Linked DNA regions of Macaca fascicularis. The protein of the gene in region 1 interacts with the protein of each later gene in a pairwise test. Links are inferred from orthologs where the notes say so. Each region holds a gene or a part of one and is shown on either strand. Other genes may lie near its edges.

Region 1 (4,574 bases):
GGTGAAACCCCCATCTCTACTACAAATACAAAAATTAGCTGGGTGTGGTGGCTCACACCTGTAGTTCCAGCTACTTGGGAGGCTGAGGCAGAAGAATTGCTTGAACCCAGGAGGCGGAGGTTGCAGTGAGCTAAGATCGCATCATTGCACTCCACCCTGGGCGACAGAGTGAGACCCTGTCTCAAAAAAAAAAAAAAAAAAGAAAAAGAAAAGAAAAATATGTAAATTGCCATTTTCAAAGATACCTAGAAAGATTTTTTAAATCATTCACGAATGCGGTCTGTTCCTTGCAGAGAGCAGATGCACAAAAATAGTGAGAATGAGACCCTATAGTTTGGTCTCATGCTGAAGAAGTCCATAAAGCCCACAAGTCATTTTCATGATGGACAGAAAAATGTATGTGCTTTCTCTGTCTACTGCCTCAACTGCACAGACCCCGGGACTGTAGCAGAGCCATCTTTTGAGCTTAACACTGGGAGGCCCAAATTCTAGCATGGGACCCAGGGCCAGTTGCTCTCTGGTCCTCAGTCTTCTCACCCATAAAATAGGAAGGAGAGAACCCCGAATCGTTGCTTCTAGCTCCTGAACTCAGTTGTTCAGAACAAGGACTCATTGCTGATTTTTCAACAGCACAGAGAATTGCTCTTGTTTCTGGGAATGATGGACAGTACCCTCTGTTCCACTGGGCAAGCGGAACTTCCCAGGCCTCTTTGTTCCCTTCTCCCCTTAGAGAGCAACAGGCTTGGCCCCATCCCACCTACCTCACCCCTCTCTCTCCTCCCTCAGGACTGGGCACCTCGCTGCCCCCGCTGCTGCCCACTCTGCGACTGTGCCTGTACGTGCCAGCTCCCTGACTGCCAGAGCCTCAACTGTCTCTGCTTCGAAATCAAGCTCCGATGAGAACCCAGGGCCCCTGCCCTCTGGAGAGTGGCCAGCCCCCAGGGCCCATGGGCCCTCCTCCCTGAAGAGCCTTTCTCCAGGCCACTGCAACCACAAATGGCCTGCCCAGCACCCAGGCCTGGGAACTGGAAGTGGCAGTGCGGGGCCTGGCTCCCTGCAGGGCGGGACTCTTGGCCGACTGGACGGCAGCTCCTCTGGAGGGCCAGAAGAGAGAGGGGCTACTGCTGGGGCAGGTGTCCTGGCTCCCTTTCCCCTCCCCACGTCAACGATTCTATTTGAAGGTGGGCAGGGGGGTGGCGCTGCTCACCACACACAAGTGTTATAGGAGGAGCCTGGCCCTTGAGTACCGGGTACACAAGGGTGCCCGACCACACTCCGTCCACGGACTCTCGGTTATTTTAGGAGGTGAGTGTAGTGCCAGTATCTGCTCTCCTTCCTAAAAAAAACCAGGGCTCCAGAGAATCAGAACAGCCACCATCACGGCAGGGAGTCTGGGGAGGAGAGAGATTAGAGGAGTCTGGGAGGGTGGCAGGGAGGCCACGTGATCTGAGTCCCCTCATCCCTTTCCCTCCCACAGGTCCCTGGCCAAAGATTTATTTCTCTTGACAATCAAGGGCCTCCGTCTGGATTTCCAAAGAAGAAATTTCCTCTGAAGCACCGGTGAGTGGGCAAGGGCTCCCTCCCCGTCAACAGGGCCGACCCAAGGCTTCCTCCCCCTTACTCCATGCCGGGCCCCAGGCTGGTGTGAATGTCAGGGGCTTCAGGTTTCCCTAAATATAGGTCCCTGCCAGAGGATCCGTGGCGGGAAAAGGGCAGGGGTCATCGGAGAAGGTCGGGGACACGTGTGGGGCGGGCAGGAGCCGCCTTATAACCCAGCCCGGGCACCCCTGGCTCACTCGCTGCTGACCAGGCTCTGCCGGCTCCTTCAGCCTTGCCGCAGGTGGGCCCCTTGCAGGACCGGGCCGGAGTGGGGATGGGGTTGGGCCGACAGGGTCCAGATGGGTCCGGGTGAGGAGGGGAGACTTGGACGGTAGGAGCAGGGGGCTAAGCATCTGGGAGACAGATCAGTTCGGGGACGGATTTTATTTTGGAGATGGAAGTCAGGCGCAAGGAGGGCGTTTGGCAGGAACTGTGGCCCCGCATGCCCGAGGCCGAGCAGCGGCCGGTCCATAGCCGCGCATTCTGGTTTTCGGTGGCGCAGAAGACTACCAGCCTGGCTGCGGCGGCCCAGGCAAAGAGCGCGCACGCATGCGCGACCCAGCCCGGCCCGCCCGCCGGGAGCTCGCACCGGGAGGCCTCGCCTCCGCGCTGCGCCAGCTCTGCTGCCCTCTCGCGCTGCCTGCGCGTCCTCTCGCTGCCCTTTCCTCCGCCTCTGTTACGCCTGGGCCAGTGACTGGGGATCGGCTCCGCGCGGATCCAGCCCGCGGGCGAGGCAGGCTGAGGCACGACTGCGCGATGTGGCCCCGATGGTGACACGCGCCGCAGCCGCGAAGCCCGAAGCTGGGGCGGTCCCGGGCCGCGGGCCCGGCCTGGGCGACGAAACTCAGCCTCCTTCGTTTCCGACTCTTCTATCCGCATCCCCCACTTCCCGGTCTCCCCCTTCTCCAGTGCCAACATTCTAGCTGAGTCACGGCGCCCCAGAGCGCACCAGGCTGGGGGGAAAGGAGCGGAGGGGCGGGAGCTTGCGACCCGCGGGATGTGGCCCGAGTCACGTCCGAGGGGGGTGGGGAGGGATCGTGTTCTCGGCGCCCGCCCCTTCCTAGCGCGGCCTCTGGGCTGCTCCTCTCAGGGGCGGTCCGTAGCCCAGTCTATCGCCTGCAATTGGACGCCGCCCGCTCCTCGTAAAGGAAAATGCTCGGCGGAGGGCGGAGTGGTGCCTTTAAAAGGCCAGGCGCTGCCTTCCTCTTTCCCGCCCCTTGCGCCGCCCCCTCCGAGGCTGAATCGGCTGCGTTCCTCTCGGAACGCGCCGCAGAAGGGGTCCTGGTGACGAGTGCCGCGTTCGCTCACTGAGTCCACTCGCCAGCCCGTCGCCCTCTGCCGCCGCACCCTGCACACCCGCCCCTCTTCTGTGCCAGGTGAGCGCCCCTCTTCACGTGCAGGGACCAGGGACCTTGGAGAGGGATCTTGGGGGCAGTGGCGGGTTGGGCGTCCTCGTGGAGCACCCCACCCCATGCCAGCGTCTCCCTACTAGCAGCCACACACAGGCTCTCCGGCTCCTCCAGCCTGAGGTCCCATAACTGCGCAATGCAGCGGCAGCGCGTGCTGAGTCATGGCGGGGGAGGAAGCCGGATGAGATGAAGGACCATTCCCCTCCCCTTTTCTTGCAGGGACCCCTGTGGCAAAGGATTAGGGCCCCTTAGCCCTGGCGGGGATCCTAAGAGCCACTGAGGGGTGGGGGTCGGCCCGTGTACAGCCCCAGGGTTCTCGCAAGCGGGAGGTTGGTTTCTGCCCTGGGAAACGGGCCGCCCCTCGTGAGGAGGGGAAACCCCTTGGCGGTGCTTGATGCCCCATTAACGCTTTCCCTGTCTCTCCTTATCGGGCGACCTTGATTCTGAGCCCGGAACAGCTGCAGCCGTGCGAAGCGACAGGAGCATTTTTCAGGGGAAGGCGCTTGCCCCGTAGGAACAGTGACGACGGCAAAGCTTACCGCTTTCCTTGCCTCGGGCTAGGGCTTGCTCCACCGCCCTTTCCTGGGCTTCTCGTTGCTCTCTTATCTTTTTCCTAATACCCCTTTCCTACCACCCACCCCCTCCCTTGTGGGGAAAAGCCTGACCTTGGGATGTCCTTGAAGACTTGGAGCCCGAGCCAGTCCTGGGATCTTGGGTGGATTGGAAGGAACACCCCAGTGGCAGTCAGAAGAGCTGGGTTCTAATCTCAGATCTGGCTCCGGGGTTGCTGTGTGGCTTGAAGCACAGACTTTACCCTTATCTGGGCCCTTTCCCACGAGGGTGTTGGGCCCTCTGCTCGATTCAATCTTTACATTCTAAAATACTCCGGTTCGGTTTTGTTTTCAGGCAAGGTGACCCCATGGCAAGGCGCAAGCCAGAAGGGTCCAGCTTCAACATGACCCACCTGTCTATGGCTATGGCCTTTTCCTTTCCCCCAGTTGCCAGTGCGCAACTCCACCCTCAGCTGGGCAACACCCAGCACCAGACAGAGTTAGGAAAGGTACAGGGGCAGGCCTAGTATAGGGAAGTTGGGCCTACGGGAGAGCTGGGGACCAGAAGCGCCCCAGGGCCTGCTGGGTGTGGGGCAGGGGAGGTAGGGAACGTTTCCCTGACCTCCAGGCGAGGAGCCCTGCTCATTGGGAGATGATGGGAAACCCCAGCTAACTAGTCCTTCCCCTGCTTCCTGTACCCAGGAACTTGCTACCACCAGCACCATGCCCTACCAATATCCAGCGCTGACCCCGGAGCAGAAGAAGGAGCTGTCTGACATCGCTCACCGCATCGTGGCACCCGGCAAGGGCATCCTGGCTGCAGATGAGTCCACTGGTGCGGGCAGGAGACAGAATGGGTGGAGGGTGCAGGGTTAGGAGTGGCAGGCTGGTCCCCTAATTCCCATGTGACACTCCCAGGGAGCATTGCCAAGAGGCTGCAGTCCATTGGCACCGAGAACACCGAGGAGAACCGGCGCTTCTACCGCCAGCTGCTGCTGACAGCTGATGACCGCGT
Region 2 (4,320 bases), on another chromosome or scaffold:
CGGCCAAGGACACGCCCAGGATGGCATTGGCCCCAAACTTGGCTGGAAGGAGGCAAGCGGGAAGAAAGGATGAGAGCTTCTTCCGGGTTTGGGGTGGCTACTCCAAGAAGACGCCAGAGTTCCAAACCACTGAGCATGAAGAATTGGTTAACAGATCTCTCTCCCACCACCTGAGTAGCTCTGGGAGCCCCCACCCCGGGGGAATGTGTCAGCTGCATGTCTGTGTCCACCGCCCAGCCCAGGCCTGGCAGAGGGCAGGCATAGGAAATGCCTGTGGAATGAACACAAATCCATCCAGCTGCGGTGTGACCCAAAATGGGGGACCCAGAAATAACCCATCAGGCCTCACCCCTGTGGCCTCTCACCATCTCTCCCATACCTCAACCCTTCCCCACCGCTGCCCTTCACTCACACTTATTCTCGGTCCCATCCAGCTCAATCATAAATTTGTCAACTTTTTCTTGATCCACAACACTTAGTTTCTGGAAGGGTGGGTTTGAGAGGGGAGAGCAGAGGTCAGATTTCTCAGAAGTCAGGGCACGTACAAGGGGAGGATAAGTGAAAATGGGGAGAGGCGCGTCTGGGGTGAGGGAGCAGGGGCATGGAGAGGAGACTGCAGGGAGCCGGCTTCCCCACTTGCCTTTTGCAGCAGAGCAGGGCCTAGAGTCTTGTTGATGTGCTCCACAGCCTTCAGGACTCCTAGACAGGCCAGAGGACGAGGTTTGGATCTCAATCAATTGGGCCTCTTTCTGTGGACCCCAGCTCCTCAAGAGCTTTGGGGGTTCTAGTCCTCTACCCATTGTGCACCCATGTCCTAAAGCCACCCACACAGACTCCTTCTGCACTGGTGTCTCCTCACCTTTCCCCAGGTAGCGGCCTTTGTCCCCATCTCTTAGTTCCAGAGCTTCATAGATACCTGTGGAAGCCCCACTGGGCACAGCTGCTCGGAATCGGCCTGAGGCAGGAGGAATTGGAAGATCACAGGGATGGCTAGGCCAAGTGGCTCATGCCTGTAATTCCAGCACTTTGGGAGGCCTAGGCAGGTGGATCACTTGAGGTCAAGAGTTCAAGACCAGCCTGGCCAACATGGTGAAACCGTCTCTATTAAAAATACAAAAATTAGCTGGGCGTGATGGCACAGGCGTGTAATCCCAGCTACTTGGGAGGTTGAGGCAGGAGAATCGCTTGAACCCGGGAGGCGGAGGTTGCAGTGAGCCGAGATTGCATCACTGCACTCCAGCCTGGGTGACAGAGCGAGACTGTCTCAAAAAAAAAAAAAAAAGAGCTCACAGGGAGTCCCCTCTACCCCTCAAAGGGCTGAGGTATCCTCTCTGAGCTCAGGGACAGGAGGCAGCGCAGAGACTCCTGCTTCTCTTCTCCCAGCTTCCAGCTCTGGTTCCATTTTGGAAGAGGGCTTGGGAAGAAGTCTGGGAAAGGGAACCTGAGAGAAAGGAGAGGATATGGCACAGAATTGGGGGGTAAAGGCCAAAGGGTTGGGGTCTTCTGGGGCGAGCCTATCCAATGGGCCTTATGTTACCCTTGGCTGTGTGCAGGTCCACCTCCACTGTGGGGTTGCCCCTGGAGTCCAGGATTTCCCGGGCAAAGATTTTCTGCATGGCCATGGCTGCAGGACAGGAGGTGTGAGGGTAGACAGTTGATCTCTTAAGGAACCAGAAATCCCTTGCCCTTTAAGAGTCTTCCCCACTCCAAGAAGGCAGGTGCTGGAGCTAAAAATACCCTACAAAAAGGTCACAGACCAAAGAGGCAGGCGCAGCCCCCTCCCCCACTCAGAATAGCTCTTATTCCACCCTCCCATCCTAAGAATCCAGGGGCCTCTCATCTATGGCTCCTAGGATGCCATCACTCCCCAAGCCCCCACCTCCCCCAAGGCTGCACTTAGGCCTTCTCCTTCCACCCTCTGGTCAAGCAGTCTGTTCTCCACGGCTGGTGGCCTTCAAATCCTTTCTGGTTCTCATTTTCCTGCTCCGAAATCCTCTTGGGCCCCCAGTTCCCTACCAGGTTCCAACTCTAGCTGCCCTTCTCTATCCATCCTTACTGCCCCTCCTCACAGCCTCCTTTCCCTAGATCCTTGGGTGCTCCCAGAGTTTGTCCCATCTGCTTGCTCCAGCCGCCCCTTCCCCCAGCTTTTTCAAGCACCTCCAGTCCCAGGAGAAAAAAAAGCAGAAACGTCCCCCACTTCCTCCAACTCAACACCATGCGCACCCTTTACTACGTCCACCCCGGGGGCTGGAAGATTTAGCTGACCTGGGATGTCTTCGTTGGAGGTTTGGATGGAGCTCCGAGTCTAGGTGGCAGCTGGGACAGTGTCAGCTCACCCCCTCTCGGGCTGCGCATTTATCCCTGAGCCACTGGGTCCCCAGCCAGCCCCGCCTCTCTCTCTCTCCATCCTCCCCCCTTCACACTGGGCTGGCAGCCAAGTGCCCACTACAGCCTAAAGCAGAAGCCTCTGGCCCTGGGCACCTGCCCCCTTACCAAAGGTCAACTACTATCCCCCACTTTCTTTCCGTCCCCCAGTAACAGTCCCAGTTTTAATTCCCCTTTGGGAGGAGCGGGGGAGGGGCTTCAGATGAGGGGTCTCCCCCACCCCAGGATTACATTCCCCTTTTGCAAACGTCAAGAGGAATGTGTGACCTTTAGGAAAGGCCAGGGGTAACCTGAGCCCTGCAAGGCTGGGGAGGGGGCCTGGAAGAGGGGCTGCAGGATTGACATCCACACATGCTCAGATCGCTGGGCGGGCCTCTGCCCTCAGTGGGGGAAGGGAGGGGACTTCTGGGCAAGCTCTGACGTCTAAAATTGAACCCCCCCACCCCAGAAGGCGAGAGAGTCTCACCTCTTAGGGTCCTCATAACGGCCATTATCGGCGACGCCCCATCCTACCCTCTCCAGGCCAGCCAGGGTGGGGATGAATTAGGGGCCAGGAGACAAATTTAGACGGGCCCTCTCGGCTGGCGCGGCGCCCGATTGATAACGCTGGGACAGCACTTGTCGCCCGGCATGGGGACTATTGGTCAGAGCCCTTCTCCCCACCGACTGTGGGCGCTCAGCGCACGGCCCCAGCCCATCAATGAATGGGGTTGAATCAACAGTGAACAAAAATGAATGGACCGAGGACGGGTGGCCCTTTGTGAGCTTCTGCACGCCTGGGGCTCCTCCGGCGCCCCGCCGTAGCACTGCGGGGAGGTGGGTCTCTGCTCTCGGTAGAGATCTCCACCTTGCCAGCTCTGGGGCCAGTGCGGGGTCTGCCCCGAGCTCCTCTGCAGCCATGCCAGCCGAACGGCTGGGGTCACGGGGCTCGACTCGGAGGCCCTTCCCGCCGGCGCCGGGGCAGCCCGCGCCCGGTGACTCACCCCCGCCTCCCTCTCCCCACCCCTGCTCCCCGCCCCGCCGGCCAGCGCGGCCTCCCAGCCCCCACCTCAAGCCACCTGGCCCGCCACCCGTCCCGTCTCCCATCTTGCCCCGCCCTCTCATCTCAGGCCGCTCCTCCCGGGATTTTTCCACCCTGGGGTGGGGGTGCGGCGGGTCAGGGGTCAGGAGATGGCGGGCGGGGAGCGCCGCCACGTGCCCGGGTGCGGCCCCGCCCGAGCCCGCCAGTGACTCAGCCGCGCGGCTGTCGAGGAACACGGGCTCGAGGGGCGTCGGGGACTGTGGGGTTCGGCGTGGACGCCAGGGATGCGCGCCGCACTCGGGAGGAGGAGAGAGAAAACCAAGCCCCTTTCCGCCCGGGCCGCGCTCCGTGACCTCGCGCCCCTAACCCAGGCTCCGGAAGCGGCCCAGCCCTCGGCGGCGGGTCGGAGAAGACGGCTTCACCTCGGCCGCCACCCGGCCGCCCCGCCCTCCCCAGGTGGCGGCGAGCGCACATCTGACTGAGAAGAAACCCAAAGGGCCCGAAGTGGGACTTTCCCCTTCTTGAAAAAGTTGCCACTCTTGCAACTTGAGTATTCTTCCGCCTCGAAAAATAGCCCCGCCTGTTAAGCCCCGCGGGTGTCCGCGCTCAGTGACCTCTGCAGACTCAGGCCAAGGGGCACGGCCGGTGATCCAGACATTGCCTGCCCGGGGCGGGCGCGGCTGGGATATGGGATAAGGCCCTGGGCTAGAGCCGATCCAGAGAAGGGACAATCCTCTGGACTGAGAATGGGCCCTGGTGAACCTAACCTGCACTACCCGGGAAGACGCTGGGGACCGAAGTGGCCCCGGTGGGTGCCTTCAGCTATGAGAGCGACTAGGGTATTTGGCCAAACTCCCTTTGCTTTCCTATTGAATAAGTAAAATCAAGGGTGGTGAGGCGGCAGCGTGCACGGC

The links.
Region 2: the proteins of ALDOA (region 1) and ENO3 interact in a two-hybrid assay, tested with the Homo sapiens proteins (2 studies listed by BioGRID and IntAct, with this or other methods). The link is inferred for Macaca fascicularis from reciprocal best matches to the Homo sapiens genes ALDOA and ENO3.

What each region holds. Positions count from the first base shown.
Region 1 is NC_088394.1:28,032,040-28,036,613, reverse strand, and holds the start of ALDOA (fructose-bisphosphate aldolase A), read left to right. Parts: upstream 1-1,483; 5' UTR 1,484-1,560; intron 1,561-1,794; exon of another isoform or gene 1,795-2,975; intron 2,976-3,441; exon of another isoform or gene 3,442-3,914; 5' UTR 3,915-3,927; coding exon 3,928-4,068; intron 4,069-4,261; coding exon 4,262-4,394; intron 4,395-4,477; coding exon 4,478-4,574. Other genes in the region: uncharacterized protein, read left to right, coding at 787-900. UniProt on the Homo sapiens protein: Catalyzes the reversible conversion of beta-D-fructose 1,6-bisphosphate (FBP) into two triose phosphate and plays a key role in glycolysis and gluconeogenesis. In addition, may also function as scaffolding protein.
Region 2 is NC_088390.1:5,067,766-5,072,085, reverse strand, and holds the start of ENO3 (beta-enolase), read right to left. Parts: upstream 2,903-4,320; 5' UTR 2,877-2,902; coding exon 2,852-2,876; intron 2,330-2,851; exon of another isoform or gene 2,266-2,329; intron 1,728-2,265; exon of another isoform or gene 1,625-1,727; coding exon 1,538-1,624; intron 956-1,537; coding exon 860-955; intron 700-859; coding exon 641-699; intron 483-640; coding exon 413-482; intron 43-412; coding exon 1-42. UniProt on the Homo sapiens protein: Glycolytic enzyme that catalyzes the conversion of 2-phosphoglycerate to phosphoenolpyruvate. Appears to have a function in striated muscle development and regeneration.